7 linked regions of the Cricetulus griseus genome follow. The protein of the gene in region 3 binds, or shares a complex with, the protein of the main gene of each other region. Links are inferred from orthologs where the notes say so. Each region holds a gene or a part of one and is shown on either strand. Other genes may lie near its edges.

Region 1 (3,980 bases), on a different chromosome or scaffold from region 3:
CAGAAAAGAGACCTTTAAAACACACAGTTAACTTTACTAAAACAAGGGAAACACAAATGAAAGCAGACATGCCACTTTCAACACATAGAAGTTAGATTTTGTTTGTTTTTTGATTTTTCAAGACAGAATTTCTCTGTGTAACCCTGGCTGTCCTGGAATTCACTCTGTAGACCAGGTGGGCGTCAAACTCAAGATTTGCCTGCCTCTGCCTCCCAGGTACTGGGATTAAAGATGTTCATCACCACCATCTAGCTTAAAAGTTTTATCAAATCAAATGTGATTGAAATTTTAGAACATGGATACTCTCTCTCTTTTTTTTTTTTTTTTGGTTTTTCAAGACAGGGTTTCTGTGTGGCTTTGGAGGCTGTCCTGGAACTAGCTCTGTAGATCAGGCTGGTCTTGAACTCAAAGAGATCCGCCTGCCTCTGCCTCCTGAGTGCTGGGATTAAAGGCTTGCGCCACTAATACTCGGCAAAACATGGATACTCTCATACAGTTGCAGGAATGCTGGAGTGGGGGCTTAGTTCTTTACTAAAACTTTACAACAAAGGACAAGGCTTAGTCAAAAATGAGACTTGCTGGTCATGGCGGCACAGTGGTGGCAAATGCTGGAAACGAGGCAAAAGGACTGCTAATTTGAAGCAAACCTGGGCTGTATCTAAAGGACAAGGGCCTAGCTCATGTATAAGGCCCTAGATTCAATCTTCAGTATTACCAAAAAACAAAACAAAACAAAAAAAAAAATGTGGGGGGGGGAGAAGGGAGGTGTCTTGGATTATTGTACAGGAGCACATGCCTCAGCACTTGAGAGGCTGAGACAGGAGGATGATCAGATTGAAGTCTCTTTCAAATAAATAAAAATTTAAAAAAAGAAGATACGGTAGTTAATGCCTGCAATCTCAGCACTCAGGAAACTTGAGGGAGGAGGAAGGCCACAAGTTCCATGCCAGTTTGGGATAAAGTGTGAATCTATCTCTAGGAAAAAAAAAAAAAAGAGGGCTGGGGAGAGAGATGTGCTTGAATGCAAGCCTAACTACTTAAGTTCAGGTCTACAGAACCCACATAGGAGCTGGGCACAGTAATAAAAGTGTCTGTAATCTTAGCACAAGCCTTATCACCAGACAGAAACAGAAGAATTACCAGACGCTTACAGAACTACCTATCTGGCTGCCCGAAATGAACAAAAAATGCCCTATCTCAAAACAAGGTGGAGGATGAAGACAACCTACAGTTGTCCTTTGACCTCCACATGTGCACCCACTCACACACTCCAAGTAATAATATGAGGTAAAAAAAGACGATTTTACTCTCATTTCCAACGCTTAGTTTTCACCAGGAAAAAAAATTTATTATATATATATATATATCACAGCAACACAAACACCAGACTCTTCTAATAATTTCTCTTCTAATACTCTTATGTAGTGTACATGATTCACAATGTTCACAGAGATAAATGGTCCAAACTTCTTTTTTTGGTTCATAAGCACAACTTTACTAAAAAACAGACACCCAAAGCAATGCAATCATTCTGTATAACTTAACAAAATTAAGCAAAACTACATATCTTGGTAAGGTAAGTGAACTTATGATAAAGCTTTCTGTGGGAAAATACAGCATGTTGTACAGATTAGCGTTTTCCTTTCAATAAACCACATCCTATGAACTTTTTGACCATTCTTGCCAACAAAATATTCAGAATTCCTTCACTATCTCTACCATCCCTCCTGCTCATTACTCAACTCATTCTGTGGTTCAAAGACAAAATACTCACTGGTGGAAGGAATGAGGATCATCCACATCGTGGCCATCTGGAGCCAAAGGGTTAGAAAAGGGCTCACCTTAAAAAGAAAAATTGACATTACATTATCAGTCGTTAAATGTGTGAGGTTCCATGCACAAACTGGCAATTATAAAAACGAACAGAAGAGAAGACAAGAGGTGCAGCAGGCGGGGCAGTGGCTGCGCACACCTTTAATCCCAGCACTCAGGAGGCAGAGGCAGGTGGATCTCTGTGAGTTGGAGGCCAGCCTGGTCTCCAGAGCGAGTGCCAGGACCGGCTCCAAAGCTACACAGAGAAACCCTGTCTCGAAAAAAAAAAAAAAAAAAAAAAAAAAGAGGGAAAGGGATGTTTGTGGTGGCCTGAGGCTATCACCCCAGCACTTGAGAGGTAGAGAAAGAGATCAAGAATTTGAAAACCGCCTAGGTTCGAGATTCCGTCTCACTTGTTCAAAAAAAAAAATTATGAAGATGGTTTTCTTAAACGAAGTGGAGAATCAAAAACTTTTTTTCAAGAGATGGCTTCTAAACTACTACACGAAAGAGCCCAGCATCCGGCAATCCCAAATACTCGGGACTTTTGAGGTTTACCTGACGAATTCCTCCCCTCCCGTGTCAGATAAACAAACCAAGTCCCCGAAAAGGAAGCACAGCCAGGGTTTATTTACTCAGGAGAGGGTAGGGAGGTGGGTCTGCCTCACAAATTCAAAACGCCGCTCCTCAACCTAGGTACGAAACTCAGGGGCTGCAGCTGGGCTGTCCGGGCCTCTCCTGACGACCAATGGTTGGCGCGGCTCCATCTGTACCTAGCACCTGGCCTAAATCTCTAGTCCGGCGGGCACAAAACAGTGGTTGACTTACTATCTCGCTCTGGCATTTTGGCCGCGGTCTCTCAAAGCCGGCAATCGTGAAAATCTCCTCTACAAAACAACAGCGACAAGCTTCTTCCCACAGTGCACCGCGAAAACTTGCCCCAGTGCTTTGCGTTCCGGGCCTTCCGGCTTCCTTAGCGTCTCACCTCACAGCCGCTAAAAAGGCCTCAAGTCATTGGCGAGATTTACCCCGCCCCTCCTTCGTCATCCAATCGGGGGGAGGAGACTAGAGGACCTGTTATTGGTCCGATGGGTGGGTGAAGAGTCGTGATTGGGCGCCTCTGTGTTAGCAAAGATGGCGGCCGCCGCTGCTAGACGAGTGATCGGTACCAAGCTGGCGCTGCGTGAGATTCGCATCCACTTATGTCAGCGTTCGCCGGGCAGCCAGGGTGTGAGGTGAGGTGAGGCGTGGCGTGGGGAGGCGAGTGGGCTTCGGAAGCTGGAGTTATGACCTTGACCTTCGGGGGGGAGGGGTCAGTGCCCGTAGCACTAGCGTCGGTCTCCCCGGCCCTACAGGGATTTCATCCAGCAACGTTACGTGGATCTGAAGAAAGCGCACCCCGGCCTTCCCATTCTAATCCGCGAATGTTCGGAGGTGCAGCCCAAGCTGTGGGCCCGCTACGGTGAGTACTGACTACCGGAGGCAGGGACCCGGGTCACGGAATACGGGTTAGACAAAAAAGAAAACAAGGCGGGGGGGCGGGGTGCTTCCCAACCGTCGTGGGAAAGCCCGGCTGAGGACCAAAACTCGAACTTCCGATGATGAGATTCACATTTACCTAGTTGTGTGATGCTTTTTATAACTGACAACATATATATGGAGTCTGACTGGATCTTGTACGAACCACTAGTTTTTGCAGTTCAGAGGGGACTTCAGGTAAAACATGCTTCTCCGTGACAATGTAGGTCCTTCCGAATTATGCCTTAGTCAGTGCAAATTCAGGGACTGAGAATTTCAATAACGTTGAGCACTTCATGTCTAGGGCTTGTGCTGTGTACCTTACTCATTCCCATTAGTCTTCATTAATGTTATGAATGGGTGCTTTCTTTCGTAGATACTAGAAAACTTAAACATAGAATCAGCCAAAAATTATATAGCTAGAATAGAACAGGGTTGAGCTTTTACGTTTTGTGCCCCTTTCTTATAGTGAACTGTTAATACAATTGGCTCCCATCATCCAGGTTATAACTTGCATCTAACCTTTATTATTACTGTCTCAAAAAAGGCATTCCTGAACCATACTGTGAATCCCAGCTACAGATCCTCCCAGGCAGAGGCAGGAGAATCACAAACTCAGGGACTATCTGAGGCTATAGTGAGTTCAAGCC
Region 2 (4,093 bases), on a different chromosome or scaffold from region 3:
TGAACTTAGCTGCTACAAACAAGGGCTGTAGAAGGAGATGCTGGAAGGAGAAAAGTGAACTGTGGGTTGAGCAGCAGCCTTGTCTAGCCTGTCAAGAACCATGGACTAGAGACAGAAGGAATCAGTACCTGCACATTTAACACTACAAATAAACACTGGAAGAAGAACAAAGCACAAAATCTACACAGACAAAAAAGGGGGCTGACCCAGGTTGCTGAGGTTGATAAGTCACATAGAGGAAACAGTTTAATACATGCATAGCTCGTCATGTGTATAGTAGTGGTTAAGAAGCAGAAACAGGCCAGGCGTTGGTGGTGCACGCCTTTAATCCCAGCACTCGGGAGGCAAAGGCAGGAGGATCTCTGTGAGCTCGAGGCCAGCCTGGTCTACAGAGCCAGTGCCAGGATAGGCTCCAAAACTACACAGAGAAACCCTGTCTCGAAAAACAAAAACAAAAAGCAGAAACGGCTGCCCAGTGGTAGTGCCACCTTTAAACCCAGCACTTGGGAGACAGAGGCAGGCAGATCTCTGAGTTCAGGGCCAGCCTGGTCTACAGAATGAGTTGCAGGACAGTCAGGATCCTACACAGAGAGACCTTATCCCTAAAACAAAACAACAACAAAAAAAAATAAGCAAAAATGTCGCCTAGATCTGGCAACTGAGCTCCTTCCTGGGAATCAGAGGAGAGGCTGAGAGTAAAAACAGTAAGAACAGGCTATTCTGCAGAAAAAGGAAAAACCAGAGACAAGACGGGAGGGAGCTGAAGTACACACAGAAGTATTTTCTGAAGGAAAGGGAGACTCTAGACTATTTCCACCCAAGACAAAGAGCAGTGACAGAATCACTCTCACAAGCTCATCTCCGTTTCCCAGCAGACCACTTACCTGGATGGGGCATCCCACCTGGTGGGAATGGGTGAGGATGTGAGTGTCCGTGACCAGGATGCCCAGCTCCTGGAGTTCCTGCTGCTGGGGGGCCATGTCCTCCAGCCCCAGGTGGCATAGGTGGTGGGGGCATGGCTGGGGGTATCCCAGGAGGGAGGGCTCCAGGTGGCGGCACTGGAGGTGGGAAGGAGCCAGGAGGAGGCATGCCTATACAAGAAACGAGAGTCTATCTTGTGAAGAAAGAAAGACTGTCTTACAGAGCTCTAGCTTCCTTCCAGCACACTAAACTCCAGTCTCCCAAAGAAACCCAACATCTGCATCCCTTCCACCAGCACTCCTCATCCCTTTCTCGCTGCCCGCTGAGTTAACAGCTTACTCCCTCAGGGTTTCTTCTGCCTTCTGACCCTCCCTCCCAAGGGCCTCTCACTGGTGTAGTTTGAACTAAAAGCTTTACCTGGTGGAGGAAGCCCAGAACCCAGGGATGAAACCACAGGATTGGGGGCAGAGGGTGGAGGGGGTGCATCTGCGAACAGCTGGTGAGGACGGTCAGCCTGGGACAGCGGGTTCTGGGCTGCCAGAAGTCGTTCAGCTGCTGAGCCATGGCGCTCGCCTTTAGAGTCCTTCTTGAAGGCGTAAGACACAGTGATGGGTCTGTTACACAGGTACTGCCCATTCATGGCCTCAATTGCTGCATCCGAAGCATCAAAGGAGGCAAAATTAATGAAGGCATAACCCTTAGAGTTGCCTGTGTCAGGGTCCCGCATAATCTTGGGGGTTTGTAAGATGACCCCAAAGGCGCTGAAAGTATCATAAAGCAGCTTCTCATCGATTTCTGGGTCCAGGTTCCCAATGAAAATGTTGGCCCCTACATCCAGGTTTTTGTTGTGAGCTGAAGCCTTGTTCACCCGTATGGGCTTCCCATAGAGTTTGATCATGTTCATAATTTTAATAGCATAGTCAGCATCTTCCTCACTCAAGAATTCAACGAAGCCATAGCCTGGGGAATTGAAGAAAAGACTACTCAGATGAAGAGATTCAAAACGACACACTAACTCACCAGCCTCCAAACAAAGAACAAGTTGGAAGAATCCCAACTTCAAACTAAAGCTAAGAGACTACTCCTGAAACAAACTGCCAACTGAAGCTTAGAGAAAGAAACCATTCCAAAATAGCTGTGACTAGTGTTGAGATGCTTCAGGGGCCGCTAACCCAAAGTAAAGTCATTTCTTGCCGTAAATACTCACCTTGGTGCTGGCCAGTGACTCTATCCTTTGGCATGTGGGTGTTGACCACCGGCCCTGCCTGGAGAAAGAGCTCCCACAGCAGTGGTTCGCTCACTTTCTCGTCTAGACCGCCCACGTACACCGTGGCATCTAAAGCAAGAAAGCAGAAGGTAAGGACGAGGTCACGAGTTAAAAGGAAAACAGAAATTTAAAAAAAAAGTAACTAAAACCCTGAGATCACCCTTTGCCTGCCTAGTATAAAAAAACCCGCTCAAGTCTAATGTGGCGTTCTTGCGGATTGTGTACTTCCCGGTGGAGTTTCAATGATGCGCTTGGTAGCAGCGGGAGTGCCTACGGGAACCGGATCCAGAGGCATCACCCTCACAGGCCTCGGCCTCAACCCGGCCCCCAGGCCCAGCCCCCAGACGCGGGCCTTCCCGGGGAAACCTAGTTTCCCACGCTGGCGCTAACGCTTCTAGCACTCATCTGCCCTCCACCTCCCTGGGCCCACCTTGGGCTCTTCTCCCCCAATTACCCTGATTCCGTTCGGAGATGGGCCCGGCAGCCATGGCGAAGAGGCTCCCGCCGTCTCTAAGCGGCAGCACCGCCCTCTGACCTGTTACGACTTCCACTTCCGGGCCAAGGCTCCCATTGGGCGGGGCGGGCGGCAGGGGAGGAGCCGGAAGTGGCCGCGGCCATCTTAGGCGTCTGACGCGTGTCTGGAAAGACGCTGTGGTGGAGCTCTCACGACGCCCGGCTGGCGCCGAGGCGCTCAGGCCCCTCTTGACGACGCGGCTCTCGCCTGTCAGGCAGTCCCGCTGCTCCCCAGCCCAAATTTAAGCCCTAATCTCAGCCTTGTATGTTCTGTGACGCAGAGAAGCGTGCTGGGGGGAGGGAGGGGCGGGCCGGCTGCCTCGGGACGCAGCCTGTTACCTCAGTGCAGACGGAAGTGTCTGAGCCCCACTATTCGTGGGGTCATCTGAGGCACGGTGCCGCGTGTGTTCACGGTCAGTCTCAGCCTCGGGAGCACTCGGCAGCACCGTGCATCCCTCCCCTCCCACAGAAGAGACACTCAGAGAGCCTTCCTCCCGGGCCAGGACAGCCAGGGCTACACAGAGAAACCCTGTCTCAAAAAAAAAAAAAAAAAAAAAAAAAGGGGTTGGTGCTTCTTTCTCCAAATTTCGTCGGAATAGCCCCTCCTGTTTTGGGTCCTTAACTTCTTTTTTATCTATTTGTTTTGTTTCTCGAGACAGGGTTTCCCTGTGGCTTTGGAGGCTGTCCTGGAACTCGCTCTTGTAGACCAGGCTGGCCTCGAACTGGGTCCTTAATTTCTGTATCAATAATCTGGGTGCTTTTCTCTCAGTGCATACCCTCCCCCAACCACTTTACCGAGATCTTCATTCAACACAAGAAACAATACCAGCAATGTGTAGAAATACTGTGCTTTAATGAAGTCCTTAAATAGAAATACCACTACAAAAATATACAGTGGGAGGACAGGGTGTCTCCCTTATTTCCCTCATTCCCACAGAAGACTAAGAAACTGGATTTCAAAGCAGTGTGAGGGGTTGAGAATGAAGTCTCTGGGGCATCTTGTTGGAACTGATGAAGTGTCTCTGATCTCACAGTTTTGACAGTTTGTCATCTAAACGGCATGGAATTGCCAGAGAAAAAAAGGAAACGTTCTGAAGTGGTTTTGTTTCTTATTCCAGAGAAACAAAAATAGCTGGAGGTTGGTAGCTCCATGTCTGCTACAGAAACTCACTCACGGAGTGAGCTCCTTTATGGGCTGGAATGTGAAAGCTTGAAACACTGAGGTCAGATACAAAGAAACATGAGCAGAACTCCCTCCACATTCCCTCTGCCCTGCCTTCGAGAATGCTAGCAGTCTCAACGGATCTGAGAGAGGATGGTATTTGGATCTCTCTTCTTGCAGTGATCCTCAGGAGATATTCTTGGTGTCAGTTTTCTTAATAGTTCCTGAAG
Region 3 (3,500 bases):
AGAGCAGCAGTAAATGAAGGTACCCTGATCAGAAGAAGCCTCAAAAAAAGGTGTGTCTTGCCAGAAGTTTCTGGGGTACTAAATGAAGCGATACAGACATATTATGAATGCAGTTTCTAAATTTCCCATGGCAATGGTTCCCAAGACCCATCTTGACTACCAGGAAAGGGACACTTACCTTCAATGTGCCGACGCACTGTCCAGACAGCATTGGGGTTACCAGGGAGCTCAGAAACAGCCATTTCTGACACCTAAAAGGAGAGCAGGCAAGCCACAGATCCAGTGAGCATGAAACTCTACTACTTAATATTATGCTAGGTGACACTATCCCAAGGCAAAGGCCTCACCCTGTACAGTGCACTAAAAGAACTGGAACACTTAGTGAAAAAAGAATGTAAAATCCAAAGACTGACGGCACAGGCAATCCCTTGACAGCAAAAAGGCATGGAACATACAGAAGGGTACAGGTTTACAACCAAACTATATGCTTCCTTTGAATATGCCATGCCTATATCCTTAAAAAAAAAAAAAGAAAAAAAAAATCAGGCAGTGGTGGTACACACCTTTAATCCCAGAACTTGGGAGGTGGATTTGTGTGAGTTCAAGGCCAGCCTGGTCTACTGAGCAAGGTCCAGGACAGGCTCCAAAGCTACAGAGAAACTCTGTCTCAAGAACAACAACAAAAGACAAGCACCATTGGAAACAAATGAAACAACCTAAATCAGTATTTTATTGCTTTCTCTAACTTTCACAAGATAAAAATAATATCTCTTCAAAGATTATTTATTACCTTTGGAATTTTTTTGAAAAACCCATTCTAAGTTTATTAAATATTATTAAATGACTCAGAGACAGAGTGCTTCATACACTGTACTTATAGAAAGAACAAGGCACTACCCTTTTCAGTTTCCAAGAACATTAAGACATAAGAACTTCATTAGTAAAACTTATGTGTCAAGTATCCTACTCAACTAATAGAAAATTTGGTTTTTTTGGTTTTTTTCATATTAAGACTATAGTCAAAAGTAAGACAGGTATACAAGAAGGAACAAAGCAATAACTATTTTTAACTATTTCCAAAATACAACAAAAGCTCTGCTTATAAAGTTGTAAGGACAGAGGGCAAGGCACTAAAAAGCAACTCTGGAATCCTTTATCTTACACTACACTAGGAGCCAATGAGCAGTAAGTAATTGAGAACTTCAGCTCCTGGTATGCAGATTTGGACAGTGGGACTGCTCTGTCTGGGCCAGCCCTAGGTACAATGAGACCTTTTCTTTAAACACAACAAAAAGAAAGCCAGGTAGTGGCGCACACCTTTAATCCCAGTGTTCAGGAGGCAAGGCAGGTGGATTTCTGTGAGTTTGATGCCAGCCAGGTCCACAGAACAAGTTCCAGGACAGGAGGGCTACACAGAGAAACCCTGTCTCAAAACAAAACAAAAGGGGTGGTGGTGGTGGTGGGGTGTGGTGGTGGGGATAACAGGAAGAGAAGAAAAAGGAAAGTCAAGCAGGTAGGCCTACTGGTTCTAAATTTGATCAAGGCCACTCAAAACTTAGTGAAATAATGAAACTAGCCTTGAATTCAAAAATCTTTCTACTTTTGACTACTGTGGCTCAAGTTACGGACATGCACCTCCACTTTTATAGTTTTAAGGTCATATCTTAAGCTGTTTCACCCAAACAACAATGTATTAGGGCAAATGCCATCATTAAGTGAATTTTACAGAACAAAAGTTTAAAGTTGCTATTTACTAAAGCCATATTTAAAACGAAGGTCATCTTGGCAATATTTCAACAAAATTTGATGAGAAACAGACAACAGGGGAGCTGGAGAGATGGCTCATAGTTTAAGAGCATTAACTGAAGCCGGGTGTTGGTGGCACACACCTTTAATTCCAGCACTCAGGAGGCAGAGGCAGGTGGATCTCAGTGAGTTCGAGACCAGCCTGGTCTACAAGAGCTAGTTCCAGGACAGCCCCCAAAGCCACAGAGAAACCCTGCCTCCACCTGCCCCCCGCCCCAAAAAAACATTAACTGCTCTTCCAGAGGTCCTGAGTTCAATTTCCAGGACCCACATGGTGGCTCAAAATAATCTATAATGAGATCTGATGCCCTCTTCTGGCCTGCAGGCAAATGTGTAGATAGAACACTGCATACATAATAAATCTTAAAAAAGGAAAGAAAAAGGATGACAGTCATCTTAATACCTACCTTTGCCAACCACAAACTCTAACTTCAAATGGTCATGGAAAATATTATTTACTTCCGCTAAGATGTCATAGGGAATGAACTAGTAAGGGAAAAGTAATCTGAACTCCATAAACTTCAGGGACAAGAGAAAGTACATATTTGTTCATAAAAACAGTAGTTTATCTTTGACCTCCTCAAAGTTAGCCTGTACAATGTTCTGTGCAGACCTTCCTTTCACATCATAAAGAGAACCAAGAAATTCCCATCTTACCTCAAGTCCATGCCTTAAGACTCTCAGCGATGACCGGGGTCCTCTACCACAGGCGACATACAGCTGTGGAGTATCTTCATTGGCCAGATCAGCTATCTGCACAACAAGGGGAAAATGTCTATTGTACTAAGCTTTCAAATACAACTATGAAAGGACAAACTATTCTCTGGTTTAAAGTTATATAATGGCTACTGACTGGGATAAGAGAAAAGGCCCTAGTGTTCCACATTAAACAAACAACGAAACCCCACAAAACACTGTTGGGTGGCGGTGGCACACTTAATCCCAGCACTCACAAGGCCGAGGCAGGAAGAAGCCAGCAGCCTGAGCCTGGTTGACACAGTGAGTTCCAAGACAGCAAGGAATGCAGAGAAACCCTGTCATGAAAAACAAAACAAAACAAAAAAAAACGAAAACAAAACACCACCAACAACAACAACAACAAAAAAAAAAAAACAAGAAAAACCAAACACTTATGTAATTTGTTCAGAAGTCAAAAAGGAACTTTGACATTTAGTGAAATGAAGTTTTGTTATAACCTGCATCTGAAATTAGTGTTTTCTTCCACTTAAAAGAGTCAAATTACATTGATTATAACTTTGTCACTCATAAAAACAATTTTAACATAAGTTTACAGGTGTTCCAATTACCTTAAGTACTATTTCAAAAATTTATTAGACCCATTAATAGTTATATATCTACACATATGCTTTTGATATGGCTAGCCAACTCATATGTAATTGCACCAAGGACAGTCTTGAACTTCAATCTTACACAATTAGTCAGGCAGGGCAGCTTAACCCTGTACTCCCAGCACTCAGGAGGCTGAGGCAGTAGAATAGTGTGTTCACAACTAGACTTGAGCTACACAGAGTCTCAAAACAAACACCCCTCATAGACTGATAGGTTTAGGCCCTGAACTCCTTTAACTACCAGTTTTTCACAGCAGTGATTCCACAGACAAGTTGTTTGTTAAGACTACAATTCAACCTGAGGAAAACTTTAAATGATCACATTTCAATTTAATAACAAGATGG
Region 4 (4,018 bases), on a different chromosome or scaffold from region 3:
TTAATAGGTTAAGGTTTTTAAGCCAGCCCCACCTCTGGGACAAAGAACCAACGGGGAGGTGGAAGATGAAGACTGGAAATTGTGTTTTATTACATAACCCTGCTGAACAGTACAACAGAACCCTCTGGTTGGTCATTTGCCAGGTGGGAGGCACAACCCAATTCCACTGAAACAAAACCAAAGTTCTACATAGGGGTCTCTTAGACTTAGTTCTTTCTGTCTTGTCCTTTGGGTAGTTCTGAACTGTGTCCTTAATAATAAGACTGTAATCACATAAATACAGAGCTTTTCTAAGTTCTATGGATTATTCTAGTAAATTATCAAATTTGAGCATGTCACATGAGTCCCCAAATTTAGTCAGTTGACCAAAAACTTAAGTGACCTAAAGTCAGGCAGTGATGGGGCACACCTTCAATCCTAGTGCTCTGGAAGCAGAGGAGGTAGTTTGAGGCCAACCTATAAAACTAGTTCTAGGACAGCCAAAAAACAAAACAAAAAACAAAAAACAAAAAAAGAAAACAAAAAAAAAGAAAGAAGAAAAAAAGCTCAAATGGTCTAAAAATGCCATACTAAGCCCTTCCCCACTCCCCCTCACCCTGTCACAGCACACCCCAACACAGTACAGCTAGTATATAAAGTGAGGGAAATCTATGTCAAACTTAGCGATGTGTGCTAATTCCAGGTGGTCAGTGTCTTAGCTGAATCACATTATATTATATCACTAAATATCCTTGGCTGGCCTGGAACTCACTATGTAGACCACCTGGTCTCAAACCATTATGCTCAACTTGAGAATACTTATTTTATGACCACCTAAAAAGTTAATTCAGTTTCCTTGGGTTTCAGCCTCAAAACCATACCAAGAAATAATTTAAATTTGGTTAATACTTCCAAGAAGGAAGGAAAAAAAATACACTGTTGAGTCATGACAATGTATATTTTACAGTCACTTATATATTATCCCTTGAGCATTTGAAGGAAGGCTCACTGATACTTCCCAATTAAGGGACTAACTCACAAACATCAGGATAACAGACTTTTCATTCTTACCTGTTCATAGAGATCAATAAGGGTTTTGTCTGGCAATTTCAGAGACTGGATAGCCTGTAAAACAGTGTCCCAATGGCCACTATTAATATCAGCCACAAAACTTTCAATGCTGTCCACAGTATTAAGAGAGACAGTAGTCTCCTCCTGCAAGGTGGCCAATGCCCGATGTAAACTGTTCTCCTTCAAGTACTGCATGATAAGACGAATCACACTGAAAAGAAAGCAAGGAAACCATCATTTCAGAGATCTCCAGTCACCAGAGGCCAAATTAACCCTTTAACTCACCAACTTAGTCCTTTTACTGCCCACTTTCCACTTAATTGCGAAAGTCACAGAATCAAGGTTCCAAAGGACTTGGAAACTATAAATCAGAGAAGGGAAATCATTTGCCCAATGTCTCACACTCAGAAAGCAACTAGGTAGTCATTATAATTCTGATCACTGAATTTACTGGATATTTGTGTGAGAAACTTTAAACCTACAAGTCAATGGTATTTTTTAAAGCATCTGACCGGGTGGTAGGGATGTTCAACTTTAATCAAAATTTAAAAAAATTATGAGGCAGATAGATAAGATAGACAGACAGACATAGATACATAGATAGACAGACAGATAGATAGATAAAATCATCTACATTGCTATAGCAAATCTTGATCCATTTTTTAAAAAATTGACAAGCCAAATAAATAAAATCATTAAATAAGTAGCTTACATCGTTAAATAGATTAAATTATTAAATAAGTAGTCATCTACATTGATGCAGTAGATCTTGGTCCATTTAAAACAATGACCAGCCAAATAAAAAACAAATAAATAGTCATTAATTAGATTAAATCATTAAATAATTAAATTATTAAATAAAGAAGTAAATAGATTAAGCCATCTACATTGCTATAGAAAATCTTAGTCCATTTAAAAAAACAAGACAAATAAATAAAAATAGATAGATAGATAGACAGACAGATAGACAGATAGATAGATTCATCCAAATTGCTGTAGGAAATCTTGGTTCCTTTAAAAAAAAAAAAATGACAAGACCTTCCCACTCGACTCTTTAGTGCTACAATGATAGATGTGCACACTCCACACCCGATTTCCAGTCTTAAAAAATACACAGCGGGTCTCAATCTCGGCGGATTTAATAAACCTCCCTCTTCTGCAGATCTCAGGGCAGATCTATCTCCCTTGCACTCCGAACACAAACGTCTGCTAATTCACATTTTTGTTAGCAAGAAGAGGCAGCGGTGGAGTCCTCGAGAAGTCCACGAAAGACTCTGCAATCAGTAACTGCACTCCTGCCCGGCTCCTAGCCTTCCCCGTCTTCCTAAACATCATTCTTCTGACCCAAAACTCAAATTCTGTCTGTCCACGCCGACGTTCTCCATCTACAAGCTGCAAACCAAAACTCGGCGCCACACTGGGACTGAGCAAATAGAAGCAACCGAGCCTTTATGGACTAAGACGAAAGAAAAGCGGCCTGGGGGGCTGGTGGCACACGGACAGCATTGAGTGAGGGCAGAGGGAAGCACAGCAGTCAGGTCTGCCCGTGTTCCTCTGCAGCCCCACAAGCGGGCCGCGGGGCTCCGGGCTTCCCGCCCCAGGGCTGCTCTCCCGCGGGCACACAGAGGAGACAGGCCACCGAGGCCGCAGCCTCCTCGGACGTCCTCTCGAGCCCCCTCCACCCTACGCCACACCACACCGGGACAAGTCCCCGCAGTACTCACTCGGAAGACTCGATTTCGATCGACATAGCGGTATCGCTCCGGGTCCAGGCCCCTCGCAGTACAGACCGAGTCGCACAACACTTAGCGACACTTCCGGCGGCCGCCTCGCGTCACTGCCGCTCGACGAAGTTCTAAGGGCGATGAGGGAGGCGCAGAGGTTGCGCAGTGCGTGAGGGACGGGGCCTAGCGTGCTTGTCAAAAGTCTGTCTGGAGCTGGCGAGACCGCTCAGAAAGTCAAGGGGACTGCCGCCGATCCTGGCGAACTGAGTTCGATCCCGGGACCCACCAGGCAGAGGCGGAGAACCGGCTCGCTCGCGCTGGGAGTCCTTTTCCCTCGCTGAGCTGTGGCTGGGGTCTGACTGCACGCTAACGCAAGCACGGTGTCTCTTTTATAGGGGTTGGCTGTCCCCGCCCTCCTGTCCCACCCTGTCGCTGGGTTGGGCTAAAGGAGTGTGCCTCCGCCTCCCTAGTACAGCGATTAAAGGCGTGTACTCACTTGATTCCATTACCGTGGGAGTTCGAGGGCAATCTGATCTACTCTCAAAAACAAAACAAAAACATTTTATCTATTTATGAGTGTGTGCACTGTGCGTGTTTGTGTTTGTGTGTGTGTGTATGTACATGTAAAGGACAGAAGATAATTTTAGAGGAGTTCATTTTCTCCTTCCACTATGTGGATCCAAGTGATCAAACTTTGTTAGATTTTGTGGCAAGTGCCTTTACCTGCTGAGCCATCTCACTGGCCCTGTCATATTATTTTACTTCAGCTAGAATTACTTCTTTATTTTACCTATAAAAATAAATTTTCTATATAATTACTTAATACAAGGCTTTAGTGTCTTCCATAATTTTATTTTATTTTTATAATTCCAATTATAATGTTTATATTCAGGCTTATTTATTATTTATATAAATATAAGCAGCTCCTGCGTTCACTATGTCTTTAATAGTAATGAATGAGTGGTTTTCTTTTGTTTTGGTTTTTTGTTTGTTTGTTTTGGTCTTTTTTGTTATTTTGTCTTTTTTTTTTCTGCAGCAAAGGAACAAATGTCTTAAGGAAACTTGCCACTTCGCAGGACAATTAAAAAGCAGTAGGGGTTGGGGATTTAGCTCAGTGGTAGAGTACTTTCTAGTTTTCTGATATCAAGTATTTTATTTCTTAATTTGGGTTATTTATTTACTTATTTTTAGCTTTTATTTTAAGGTTTCTCTGTGTAACCCAAGCTATCCTGGAACTCATTCTG
Region 5 (3,500 bases), on a different chromosome or scaffold from region 3:
CCTCAGTAGAAGGAAAGAACTGAACACTGTTCTGACTCCAAGTGTGTTCCATGGCAAGGCACAAAAGCACCTGCAGTCTTACACACGCACACACGCACGCACGCGCTCGAGCTCGCAGAGTCAAGATTTTACATTAAGTTGGGATTCACATTCCCCCAGATACTCCACAAAGCAAGTGCCCTTGCTGACAGAGTGAATGCTGTACTCCCAGTGGTGAGACACTATCCTCTGCCCTGACCCAGCACCTTGGTATACTGCTCCACCAGCTTTGTGAAGTAATTGAAGAGGCTGTGCTGTGGGCGGAGAAAGTCAAACTGGTAGTTTCGCTGCTCTTTTTGCATCAGCTGGGTCAGAAACTGGCGTCCATTCCTGGCCACAAACTGAGCTGTCAGCTTCACTACATCCAGGTCGAAGGCTGAGATGGAGGGGGGATCAGCAATGAACTCAAACTCAGGAGGGGGCTCCTTTGGTACTATGGTCTCTTGGATCACCTGGGCTTGGACCTAAGACAGAAAGTGTAGAACAAGAACAGAACAGAAGTAAATTAACTCCACAGAATGTCCAAAGACTCCAATGTTTTATTCATTGTAAGCATCACTGGGACTTGCTATAAGAAGACTGGCAACCAAGAGCATTGGTGTCTCATCCAACTATGCCTCAACTCCCTAATCTGTTTTAAGTATCTACATCTCTGATCCCATCCTGAAATCAAAGGCCTAAAGAGGTGGCAAAAATATACAGGAAATAGGCTATAAAATCTAACTAATCTGCAAGGCCCATGTGCATGTGTATGTGTGGTGAATCCCACCGTATAAAGTACATCAAGGCCCTCCAAGAGAACCTTGAAGCAGACAGAACAGATACTATGAATGCTTTTTATAAACGAGAAACTCAGGCCCTACAAGCAGCAACTGAAATGCAAGGTCTTTAAACATGACTTCAACTTTTATTTCTTATGGCTAAACAAAAGGCTGCTTTTCCCACAAAAGTCTGGGAATGGTGCAAAATGAAGAGACCAGTTTGTCTACAAAGTAGACAAACTGCACTTTCCATCTTCATTGACATTTTTGACTGTCCCTAGTTCTGCAACACCCCTGGGCCCAAACAGCACAAACGAAAGGGAAGAAATGGCACAAGGCTACAGTATCTCCCTTAGCTCATCCAGGTCATAATTTGTTTTCATACTACAACTAATTCTTACTCCTTGAATTAATATTTCGTATTTAGACAAGCCTCACCTTTGCCATCTATTAAACAGTTGTTCTGTTGGGCTTTTCATGATCTGAACCCAGAGCACAGAGCTTGACCAACCAGTGATCAAAAAGTGCTATGTATCATCAATGCTTCTGGAACATGAGGGTAATTTTACTTCTGTCCATGGTGGCTATGACGGTGGACAGCAGATATGCCCACCCACCTTATGTCCTCCTTAACCCACAAAGAGGAGATGGGTTCCAAACCTTCTGGGGCAGCTGTTGTTGAGTGGCTTGCTGCTGCTGCTGCATGACCTTGGGGATGGCAGCTGAGGGTTCCTGAGCCTTCCCCTCCTTAAACTCGCTGACCTTGTGGCGGTAGTAGGCATGGTAAGGGTCATTGGGATTTAAAAAGTTGAACTTGGGGTTGTTGATCTCATTCTGTCGGATCCTGGCTTCAAATTCAGGGCCATTTCTGGGAGGAGAAAAATTAACACACCAAATAATGAATATCACAACCTTTGTGACTACTTAATTCAAACCTCCATCCATTTCAACATCTTTTACACCCCTGGCCCTACCAGCTAAACAGAGCAGAAGGCAAGGTAAAGGTGACTTTATGGTTAAGATCAGCCACCACAGGGGCTAGAGACATCGATAACCCAGAGGAGCATTGGTTGCTCTTATAGAGGTACTGAGTTCAATTCCCAGCAACTACATCACAACCATCTGTAATGAGATCTGGTACCCTCTTCTGGTGTGCAAGAATATATGCGAAAAACACTGTATATATAATAAATAAATCTTCAAAACAATCTGTGACATCCATGACACAGACTATAAAATGTGGTGTATCTTTCTTGCACAAATAAAGCCTGTCTGGGAGTCAGAGAATGGAGCTTGCCACTAGCTAACCATAGAGGTCTGGCAGTCTATACAGACTACAGACAGGCAGGAAGTGATGTAGCTGGGCAGAATCAGAACATAAGCAAGGACAAACAGGAAATCACTCTCTTCTCTTCTCTGTGCTGAGCAGTCGACATGTAAGACGCCAGAGGAGTAACAAGTCCCTGGACCTTTCTCCGGTAAGATAAGGCCATGAGGAAATACACAGATTAGTAGTTATGGGTTAATAATTAAGTCAGAGCTAACCAATAAAAAACCATAGCCAGCCAGGCATTGGTGGCGCGTGCCTTAAATTCCATCACTTGGGAGGCAGAGGCAGGTGGATCTCTGTGAGTTCGAGACCAGCCTGGTCTGTAAGAGCTAGTTCCAGGACAGCCTCCAAAGCCACAGAGAAACCCTGTCTTGAAGAACAAACAAACAAACAAAAAGAAACCATAGCCAACGGCCAACAGCTTTATAATTAATATAAGTCTTGTGTGTTCATTTGCGGTTGATGTGGCTATGGGACCAGGCTGGCGGGAAGAGTTCATGTTATAATAGAAGGTCTATCCTCTAGCAAGTTCTGTTCACACCCTGTAGCTTGACTAACACCATGAGGTCTCAACTGACTGTGCGTTAGTCCAACCAGAACTTCATGCTTTGGAAAGAAGTGCTTTCCTACCACCCTGTGCAAACTAAACCACACAGAGCAAGACGGACACAGATTTGGGTCTTCTTAAATCAGGTCATAATGCCTGGAAAATGCCCAGGGAGACTAATGGCTTCTAGAAAAGGGGGGAGGGGATGTCTCTTCCAATGCTGCCTAAGCCACAGCCTCTCTCTACACATCAGGGAACAGTTAGAAAGATGTAATGAGAAGGCAGATGTACTTATTCCAAGAAATTTCAGTGCTCTAAGTTGGCTTACTACTAATTTTAGAATTAGATCCTCCAACACAAGGAATGGATTTCAGCAGAAAAGCCTAACTCTGACTCAGCCCAGCTGGCGGGGCTTTTTAAAGGTAATTTCCAATTTGGCTTTTTGACAGGAAAATGCAGGACTGGAAAGACCTACCTACAGAGAAAAAGTTCTTTATAGTCAGATTTGGTTGTAGATACCCACTGCCTGAATATCCTCTCTCTCAGTGCAAGCATGCAAAAGCAAGTTCAGATTTTATTTACAATTTCTGAGAGAGACTGTGTGTGTGTACACATGGGTATCCTCACTAGTGCTCACATGGAGACCAGAGGTTGACACTGGGTAGCCTCCTCTATCATCTTCAACCTTATTTTTTTGAGACAGGGTCTTGTACTGAGCCTGGGCTCACCACTATGGTTAGACAGGCTGACCAGCCAGTGGGCTCCAAGAATTTGCCTATCTTTATCCCCAACACTATACTTTTATGTGGATGCTGGAGATCCA
Region 6 (4,043 bases), on a different chromosome or scaffold from region 3:
GAGAGGAACCACTGTTATCATGACTATGGACTATACTGGTGCTCAGAATACTCTACCCTTCTTGCATCTATGACCCCAGGTGTCCTCAAAAGGTAGTATTGGGTATAGCTTCTGCAGACTCCAGGCCCGAGAACCACACATACAAACGGCTGGCAAATCTCTGCTGTTAATGGGAAGTGAGGGCTTCAAGCACCTGGCTTAGAGGAACCCACAACCACCGCGCCCCCCAGTAACCTTGTCATCACCTTGAGAACAGAAAACCACACTGGGGGGAGCGGGCAATTCGGCCCTCAGGAAATGAGGGGTGCCCTCATCCTTTATCACACTGCGGATGCTTAGACTCAAGCTTCCCGCTGGGCGGGGACGGGGACTGGGCCTGGGAACTGACTGTGCCAGGGACACCTTGACCTAGGACAAGGCAGGAGCGGACAAGGACGCTGGGCCTGCAACCGGGACAGGTTCGCAAAAGTCAGCCCCAGGTTGAGCCCGCCTCGCGTGGCCTCGCCTACCGCCGCAGGCAGAGCTCCCCGCCCCCGTGAACCCACACATCGGAGCTCGCTCACCTGCAGCCGGGTCACCAGGAGGCTGTAAGGCGCCATTTTGTGCACTGACAAAGATGAGGTCGCGTGAAAGTGACGTGCCACAGGGCGCTTTTGAAGTGCTTGGGAAGGGGCGTGGCCTCCAAAGCGGCGCGTCACGGTGAGGGTGGGGCCTTCCTCCTCGGAGCCGGAGTCCAGAGAGCGCAGTGGGCGGGGCTTCCATGACGGGCACAGCGCGAGAAAGAAACTGCCAGCTTGTCAGTCTTTGCACTTGGGGACGGAGACGGCAGCGGAGCCAGGAGTTCAAGGTCATCCTTCACGCCTTGAGACTCAAAAGGGAACCCCCAGACCACATATTTTGCGGAAGCATGCGTGAGGCCCTGGCCTCAGCCCCGAGCACAAAAAGTACCATGTGTACAAAAGTTTTTTGCGAGACAGGTCTGGCTGGCCTCGAACTCAGAGATCCGCCTCCCGAGTGCTGGGACTAAAGGCGTGTGCTACCACCAACCAGCCATATGTAGGAATTTTATCCAAGACAAAAACACTTAGTTTATTCGTTCAAATCGGGAGGGAACAAAAACTTTATTATAAAGTCTTTGATGCACCTGCTAGGGGTCCAGCAAGTTCACGCTGAGAAAACTCGCGAGAACTAGCGAGATTTGGTGCAACGAAGGGCAAAAGCTGATGGGCACCTTGACGGCCAATCACGATGGAGAAGTGGGTGTAGGAACGGCGTAGGTTAAAGGTCGAGCGGAAGTTCTCTAAGCTTCCGGCCGCCGGCTTGGGGACGAGTGATGGCTAAACACCATCCAGATTTGATTTTCTGCCGCAAGCAGGCTGGTGTTGGTGAGTTGGCTCGCCGCTCCCTTCCGTTGGAGTGGGATGGTGTTAGAAACGGGAGAGTGGGGGGTTCGCTTCCTCTTTAGGGCCTGGCCTTGGGGGCTCCACGTTTCGCGCCTTGCGGTCCCTGGGTATTCTGGGGGTGCGCCCAGGTTTGTGACTTGTGATAAGAAGGCAGGATCGCGCGTCTGGGAGCCTGAAACTGGGGGCAGCGTCTGCGCTAGGTCTGGAGAAGCCGTCCCAGGTTGCTTTGAGGATTCCGGACAGGGCGCTGGTGCAAAGCAAAACTTAGGGGCTTAGGCCGGGCGTGGTAGTTCACGACTGTAATCCCAGCGCCTGGGAGGCTGAAGGCAGAAGATTGCTGGGGGTTCGAGGCCGACCTGAACTACATAAGAAGTTCCAGGCTATAAAACGGGAATCTGTTGGGAGGAGGGGCGTGGAGAGGGGAAAAAAAAGGATAATAAGACAGCTATTCTGCTCACTGTAGTCATTGCTACCTGCCCCATCCTCTATCCCAGCTTTGAGGAACAACTTCCTTGCTAAATCACCATTTTGATTTTAACTGTGTTTTTTCTTGCAGCTATCGGAAGACTGTGTGAAAAATGTGAGTGGAACATACCCTCTCACACATTGCCTTCTTTCTTTGTTTTTTGACGAGCCAACAAGCCATTTATTCCAGAGGAGCCCTAAAGAAGCATTGAGTGGATATGCCAGACTGCAAAGAACACTGAATCTCTGACTACAACCAAAGGCTCCCCACCAGACTCCCACTTTAGCTTGCATACTTTAATATTTCATACTTAGGTTGTGGGGGAAAAATACTTTTGGACAGTAAGAACTATCAGAGTAGTGTGAACCTTCCCAGGCCAATGTTTGTGCAAGAAGGCATGCAATTTGTTGATGATAACTACATAGACTTAAAAGCTCCTAGCTAACACGTCAAAACTCTTCCCATTTATATTTTGAAGGAAACTGAGGTAGATGGTAGATATAAGATAGGGTGGATGCTGTCAAGATAGAGAAAAGGCCTGAAGTCACAGTCAAAGGGAGACTGGTTATTTCACCCATAGAATAAAGATCTTTAGGAAGTAATCACTAGTGAATATAACTCCATTCCTCTTCCTTTGCAGGTGATGGCAAATGTGTGATTTGTGACTCCTATGTGCGACCCTGCACCCTGGTTCGCATATGTGATGAGTGTAACTATGGATCTTACCAGGGCCGGTGTGTGATCTGTGGAGGCCCCGGAGTCTCCGATGCCTACTATTGTAAAGAATGCACCATTCAGGAGAAGGATGTGAGTGTAGACTTGAGCATTCCCTCCTGGCCTTTCTTCCTTTTTCTTTGGACCATTTTGCCATCCATGTCCATCTCTTCTGGTCTATGGAGACTGCAATGTTCAGCTAGTCATGTAGGTAGAGGTTATTATCATCCTCCTTTTATACTCTGTCCCAGGCTATCTGACTAAATCTGGTGTCCACATTACATCATGTTATGCTTCTCTAAGACCTTCTTGGTGTGTGCTCATGATGAAGAGAGCACCCAGCCTCCTCAGCACTCCACATGTGGATGCTACCTACCACCAGTACCCGAAGCCAGATAGGGCTTTAAGGAGGGAGGGGGGTTGTTCTACGTGGTGCGGAAGGTGATCTATGATAGCTGCATTTTCAGTTTTGATTGACTTTATCATCAAATCTCAAATCGGGTCTTACCACATCCAGCAGATATTGATTGGGGAAGCCACATTTAGGCATTAGCTAGAGTTCCCAACTGAGAGCTTTTTCTCCATGGATGAGCTCCAGGCTTTTCTTACTGCCTGCATGCAGTTTATGCCACAGGACATACAAATGATTCCTGTTGGGTATATCCTCACTGTTCTCAGTGCTGCAGAGTTTGGTTGTGTTTGGTTTGGTTGAATTTCTTTGTTACATCTATTTGTGTGGGTGCATGTGGTATTAAGAGGACAGCTTGCCTGGAGTTGGTCCCACACACACACACACACACTAGTGAGTATTTTGGCCCACTAATACTTTTATGTGCTTACTGTTTTTCCCTGTCCTTCTTAGAGAACCAGATTGGTGCTTGGCCCAGAATGGAGTTTTAGAGCAGCTGAAAAGTATTGTTTACTCTGTTGAATCCACTATTGTTTGGGAAAAGGGGAATGTTGTTGATTAAGTATGAAATCATAATTTCAGTTGGTGGTTTGAACATTCTCCTGCCCTAAATGCTCTTTCCAATTCTTTAGACAACCAGAACTCGATTGTATTCTGTCTTCCACAGCTGTGGATTATGTCCTCCATCTTTCCTTTTTCTCGGGTCTTGGTAATAGTGCCTAATCTGTAATACAAGGATGGTGCTCTCTTTTTGGTACTGTGCCTATAAAGTGTTCCTGGGAGACACTCCCCACCCTGGGCATTTGTTATTTAGGAACTGGGAAGTACTGGGTGTAATGGAAAGAGGAGGGACACACAGTTCTCAAGCTAAAGGGTCCCTGAAGAGACAACACTTTCTTGAGCTTTCAGAAATGTCTAGAGTCTGTTTCTGACTTAAGCTTGGAACCAGAGGATGCTTGCTAAACAGTAATTGCCATCTCACTTGTCTGCATGCGCCCTGTGATCTGATACCTTTGGATCCCTGCCCCTCATTCTGCTCCCTGAGAATTAT
Region 7 (4,100 bases), on a different chromosome or scaffold from region 3:
TTCATGAAATATGGGTCCTTGGAGGGAACATATGTACCCATTAGATCGCAGAGCCTGGCCCCATGAACCTGGGTCTGTAGGTGTGGGGACACTGCTCCCTCCACACCCCTACTGTAGGTACCCCCCCACCTTGTTGATGTCAATGGTTTCTAAGGCCAGCTGTCGCAGGCGTTCCCTGCGGTCCCGGTTGCTCTCAGAGGAGGAGGCCACGCCCCCACTCCCAGTCTTGCCTCCAGGTCTGTGCTGGAAGTCCATGGTGAAGGCCTGGAAGCTTCAGGGACACACAGAAACCTGGAGGAACAAAAGGGCAACAGATTCAGAACAGCACACATTCATGCAGCAAGCAGGCCTTCCCTTGCCTTCTATGTTCCAGATTGGATTCCACCTTACCCTTAGAGTGAATGTGGATTGGTGGAGAAGCAACCAGCCCAAGACCCTAGGCTAGTGTCATTTTTTTCAAGTCTCACGTAACCAAAGCTAGCTGTAAACTCACTGTGTAGCTCAGGCTAGTTTAACTCCTGGTCCCCGTAAGCACTGAAATTACAGGGGTGTGCCATTATATCTGTCTTTGGTTATGAGGTAGGTGGGGGACAGGCAGAGTCTCATGTAGCCTGGGTTGTCCTTTAAACTCCTGATCCTCCCAAGTGACTGCAGGTATGAGCCACCTTTGCCTGCTGTGTCATATTAAGATGGGGGGGGGGGTCTCTTTAAGTAGACCTGGCTGTCCTCAGAGATCCATCAAGTGTTGGGATTAAAAGACCTCACACACCCATCTGACACACAAGGATTATGTTTTTTCCTAGTCTTCCAAGTCCTGAATGTTGTCCACTAGGAAGAACACTTTAGACTGCTCATTGTCTGCCCCAGGGCCTTGGTTTAAACCCAGAGGTAAACTCAGGGACATGTCCAGGAGACAAGTGGAGGGCAGTCCTTGTCATCATTGTTGGAGCCTCATACAGCAAAAGGAATTTTGAAAATGATATCAAAAACTCCGAGGGCCAGGTAGTGTCACCATGGAGTCAGAAGGACTCAGGGCAGAGACACAGTGAGGTCGCTGGCTGTTGACTCTGGAGGAGGAAGGGGCAAAAGCCAAGGGACACATGGGCCTTAAGACGCTGGGATGGCTGAGAGCATTCATGTGTACTGAAGCTGTCTGTGGGCAGGACCAGCCTGTCTGGTCTGTTTCATGCTCAGCCACACAGGACTGAAAAAGAAAAGCACTGCCTATACCTTCGAAAGCTACCAGGAGACACAGACCCACAGATGAAGTTGGCCAGATGCAAGAGCAGAGTCCAAGGCTGGCCGCAGGCTTCCCAGAACAAGAGGGTACCTGGAGCAGTGACAGCATGAAAACCTACTCTGACTTCTGGTGTCCAGCCAGCCACAGGCTTGAGGGTACAACTCAAGGCCCCTAGAGTCTTGCTTTCACGTGTAGGGGTGTGGGCACCCACTAAATGAAAAATGCAATTCATCTGTTTTGGAGAGGCTAAAAAAAAAAAAAAAACAAGAAAACCCAGGACAAAACTAGCTTGGGTGAGCATGCGCCTTGGTTCTGGGGTAGGAGCAGAGTCTTGCAAAATCTCACCACTGAGCTACCTTTCCCAGCCTGTGACATTTTCAACCTCGGGAAACACTAGCAATTGTGGTGGGCATGGTGGCAAACACCTTTCACATCAGCTCTTGTCTTGGGAGGCCAAGGTAGGAAGACACCCGAGTTGGAGGCCAGCCTGGGCTGCACAGTAAAATCTTGTCTTAAAAGCATTTGGTGTCCTTCCAGAGGATCCAAGTTCAGTTTCTAGCACTCAAACTGGGCAACTGACAACCACCCGAAACTCAAGCTCCAGTGGATCTGGACTCATTCACATGCACAGACACACATACACACGAAGAAAAGATAGTCCCGGAAAAAGAAACACGGGGAAAGCAATGCGAACACCAGCACTTATCTTTCTGCTTCCTGACTACAGCTGCCTCAAGCTCCTGGGACAAAACTTCCCCACCAAACTGAATTGCACTCCTACTGTCAGCGGTAATAAACCCTTCCAAATTAAACAGCCAGGTGCGGCGGCATATGCTGTTAATCCCAGTCGTCCGGAGGCAGAGGCACCGCGATGTGTGTGAGGTAAGAGTTCCTGGTCGGCCAGAATTGGGCAGGGAGACACTGTCTGAAATAGAAGTTCTGCCAACGCCTGGATGCGCTCACAAGTGAGGCGTGGGGCAGGAGGGAGAACGGATGGATGGAGACGAGCTACCTCACGGACCACCATAAGATCACCGACAAACGAGACAGGGAAACGAAGTGCTGTCTGAGAAGGAGACGGCCTGGGATGGAAATACCGTTATCTTCCAGTCCCAGCAAAGGACCGGCTCGGGTGGGCGGCAGCAGCAGTCGCCAGGGCCCTGACTAACGACGAGGAAAGCTGAGGCAATCAAGGAGCTCAAAAGACCCTCAGGAACCGGGGCACGCTGGGGGCCGCAGACGCGCCACGGAAGCCCGCGATGCCGCCGCGGCCACTGGGCCGCGCGAGCGCCGCCGCGCCGCCCGCCGGCCGGCCCTTCCGTCCAGCCCCGCGCCCTCGCTGCTGCTTCCGACCCCCTTCCGAGACACCAAAGCCGGGGTAGCTTCCACCAACAAGCCGAGTAACACCTCACCGGCGCCAAAGGCCGCGCAGCCCAGGCGTAACGTCCGCGAGGCCCACGATTTCGCTGTGCGCACGCGCAGGCCGGACTAAGCAGTCACTTCCGGGGGAAAATAAGGCGGAGTTTCGGTTGTGCGCATGCCCAGAAGATGGACTCGGTTTAAAGAGGCGCGAGTGAAAGGAGCGCCGGAGTCCGAAGTGCGCACGCGCACTGAGTTATTCACGAACTCTCGCTGAGTATCGCGACAGGACGAAATCGTTATGTCTCAGCAGCCTCGGAACGCGCTTCGCTTGACAGGGGGTGCTACGGATCTAGCTTGATACCTCACGTTTAGTGTGTTTGACAGTTACCTAGGACGGGCGACTTCCTTCCTTTCTGACTCTGCGAGCAACTGCGCCCGCAGACACGCTAGCGCCCCGGCGCGCAGGCGCAGTAGCTCTGCTGGGACTTCCGGGAATGTTCCCTGAGACTTTTGTGGTGCTGAGCGCACCTTCCGAGCGGACGGCGGCCGAGAGGCAGGGCGCCCTCCGGTTCGCGCGGGTCCCCACGGCGTGATGCGGTACAACGAGAAGGAGTTGCAGGCGCTGTCCCGTCAGCCGGCGGAGATGGCGGCCGAGCTGGGCATGCGGGGCCCCAAGAAGGGCAGCGGTGAGCGAGCCGGGGCCGCGGCTGGGCACCTCCCCGGGGGGCGGAGGAGGACAGTTCCCGCTGACACCGCCCCGTGTCCGCAGTGGCCAAGAGGCGGCTGGTGAAGCTGGTCGTCAACTTCCTCTTCTACTTCCGCCCGGACGAGGCCGAGGTAGGGGCGTGGGGGGCTCGGGGGGCCCGCGCGGCCCGGAGCCGGCCGGCGCTCATGGCCGTGTCTCGCGCAGCCCCTCGGAGCCCTGTTGCTGGAGCGCTGCAGAGTGGCCCAGGAAGAGCCCGGCGGCTTCTCCATCAGTAAGTGCGCCGGTCCCCACAGTCCCCACTCCGGACTCTGCTCCGCACACCCCTCCCCACCCCCGCCCCAACCTCCGTTTGTCCTGGATCCCGAGTTTCCGGGGCCCAGCGCTGCATCAGCTGTCAAATTGCCCCCGGGTCTGGTCCCCGCTGGTGCGACCATAGTTTCTTCCCCGCCTTCAGTACCTGTTCACGGCAGGGATATGAGCAGCCTGCGCAGACTTTGTTGGTGTGGCATAAACAGTTCCTCCCGCCGGCAGGGCTTCTGAGGTTTTGAAGTGACATCTGATTCAGCCTTCTTCCTTGGTGATCTTTACAGTACCGTCCTGTAGACATTTGGCCCTCATGTCTTCCTCCATCATCACGGGGTTCTCCATCACTACCCTTAATTTCTGCTTCTTGCACGTGTATATTGAGGCCAGATGTCAATTTCTGATGTCTTCACCTCTCCCTTAAAACAATACATCAATATGTACACATACGTGTATTTGTGTGTGATCGAGCATGCCCCTAAGATCAGA

Evidence for each region.
Region 1: Sf3b3 (region 3) and Ik share a complex: the UniProt entries of both Homo sapiens proteins name them as parts of the spliceosome B complex. The link is inferred for Cricetulus griseus from reciprocal best matches to the Homo sapiens genes SF3B3 and IK.
Region 2: Sf3b3 (region 3) and Sf3b4 share a complex: the UniProt entries of both Homo sapiens proteins name them as parts of the SF3B subcomplex of the 17S U2 SnRNP complex. The link is inferred for Cricetulus griseus from reciprocal best matches to the Homo sapiens genes SF3B3 and SF3B4.
Region 4: Sf3b3 (region 3) and Smu1 share a complex: the UniProt entries of both Homo sapiens proteins name them as parts of the spliceosome B complex. The link is inferred for Cricetulus griseus from reciprocal best matches to the Homo sapiens genes SF3B3 and SMU1.
Region 5: Sf3b3 (region 3) and Sf3a1 share a complex: the UniProt entries of both Homo sapiens proteins name them as parts of the 17S U2 SnRNP complex. The link is inferred for Cricetulus griseus from reciprocal best matches to the Homo sapiens genes SF3B3 and SF3A1.
Region 6: the proteins of Sf3b3 (region 3) and Phf5a are in contact, whole or in part, in a crystal structure (PDB 7B91), measured with the Homo sapiens proteins. The link is inferred for Cricetulus griseus from reciprocal best matches to the Homo sapiens genes SF3B3 and PHF5A. Residues at the interface, in NP_036558.3 of Homo sapiens: Gly85, Arg86, Gln104, Glu105, Thr106, Phe107, Gly108, Lys109, Ser110, Leu140, Ile154, Ser155, Ser156, Pro157, Glu159, Ser1162; in NP_116147.1 of Homo sapiens: Gln14, Ala15, Gly16, Val17, Arg44, Asp47, Glu79, Asp81, Arg82, Asp83.
Region 7: Sf3b3 (region 3) and Sf3a2 share a complex: the UniProt entries of both Homo sapiens proteins name them as parts of the 17S U2 SnRNP complex. The link is inferred for Cricetulus griseus from reciprocal best matches to the Homo sapiens genes SF3B3 and SF3A2.

The regions. Positions count from the first base shown.
Region 1 is NC_048595.1:200,783,572-200,787,551, forward strand, and holds the start of Ik (protein Red), read right to left. Parts: upstream 2,801-3,980; 5' UTR 2,657-2,800; coding exon 2,641-2,656; intron 1,842-2,640; coding exon 1,775-1,841; intron 1-1,774. Other genes in the region: Ndufa2 (NADH dehydrogenase [ubiquinone] 1 alpha subcomplex subunit 2), read left to right, coding at 2,947-3,047, 3,168-3,274. UniProt on the Homo sapiens protein: Involved in pre-mRNA splicing as a component of the spliceosome. Auxiliary spliceosomal protein that regulates selection of alternative splice sites in a small set of target pre-mRNA species. Required for normal mitotic cell cycle progression.
Region 2 is NW_023276806.1:60,350,896-60,354,988, forward strand, and holds the start of Sf3b4 (splicing factor 3B subunit 4), read right to left. Parts: upstream 2,801-4,093; 5' UTR 2,677-2,800; coding exon 2,643-2,676; intron 2,258-2,642; coding exon 2,129-2,257; intron 1,882-2,128; coding exon 1,339-1,881; intron 1,092-1,338; coding exon 885-1,091; intron 1-884. UniProt on the Homo sapiens protein: Component of the 17S U2 SnRNP complex of the spliceosome, a large ribonucleoprotein complex that removes introns from transcribed pre-mRNAs.
Region 3 is NC_048596.1:187,226,287-187,229,786, forward strand, and holds part of Sf3b3 (splicing factor 3B subunit 3), read right to left. Parts: intron 2,560-3,500; coding exon 2,464-2,559; intron 252-2,463; coding exon 179-251; intron 1-178. UniProt on the Homo sapiens protein: Component of the 17S U2 SnRNP complex of the spliceosome, a large ribonucleoprotein complex that removes introns from transcribed pre-mRNAs.
Region 4 is NC_048595.1:101,849,611-101,853,628, reverse strand, and holds the start of Smu1 (WD40 repeat-containing protein SMU1), read right to left. Parts: upstream 2,801-4,018; coding exon 2,775-2,800; intron 1,262-2,774; coding exon 1,051-1,261; intron 1-1,050. UniProt on the Homo sapiens protein: Involved in pre-mRNA splicing as a component of the spliceosome. Regulates alternative splicing of the HSPG2 pre-mRNA. Required for normal accumulation of IK.
Region 5 is NW_023276807.1:100,723,356-100,726,855, forward strand, and holds part of Sf3a1 (splicing factor 3A subunit 1), read right to left. Parts: intron 1,669-3,500; coding exon 1,461-1,668; intron 504-1,460; coding exon 246-503; intron 1-245. UniProt on the Homo sapiens protein: Component of the 17S U2 SnRNP complex of the spliceosome, a large ribonucleoprotein complex that removes introns from transcribed pre-mRNAs.
Region 6 is NC_048595.1:379,006,418-379,010,460, reverse strand, and holds the start of Phf5a (PHD finger-like domain-containing protein 5A), read left to right. Parts: upstream 1-1,243; 5' UTR 1,244-1,333; coding exon 1,334-1,385; intron 1,386-1,959; coding exon 1,960-1,983; intron 1,984-2,509; coding exon 2,510-2,676; intron 2,677-4,043. Other genes in the region: Aco2 (aconitate hydratase, mitochondrial), read right to left, coding at 564-599.
Region 7 is NC_048598.1:101,580,251-101,584,350, reverse strand, and holds the start of Sf3a2 (splicing factor 3A subunit 2), read right to left. Parts: upstream 2,801-4,100; 5' UTR 2,653-2,800; intron 292-2,652; 5' UTR 256-291; coding exon 130-255; intron 18-129; coding exon 1-17. Other genes in the region: Plekhj1 (pleckstrin homology domain-containing family J member 1), read left to right, coding at 3,195-3,288, 3,372-3,439, 3,513-3,579. UniProt on the Homo sapiens protein: Component of the 17S U2 SnRNP complex of the spliceosome, a large ribonucleoprotein complex that removes introns from transcribed pre-mRNAs.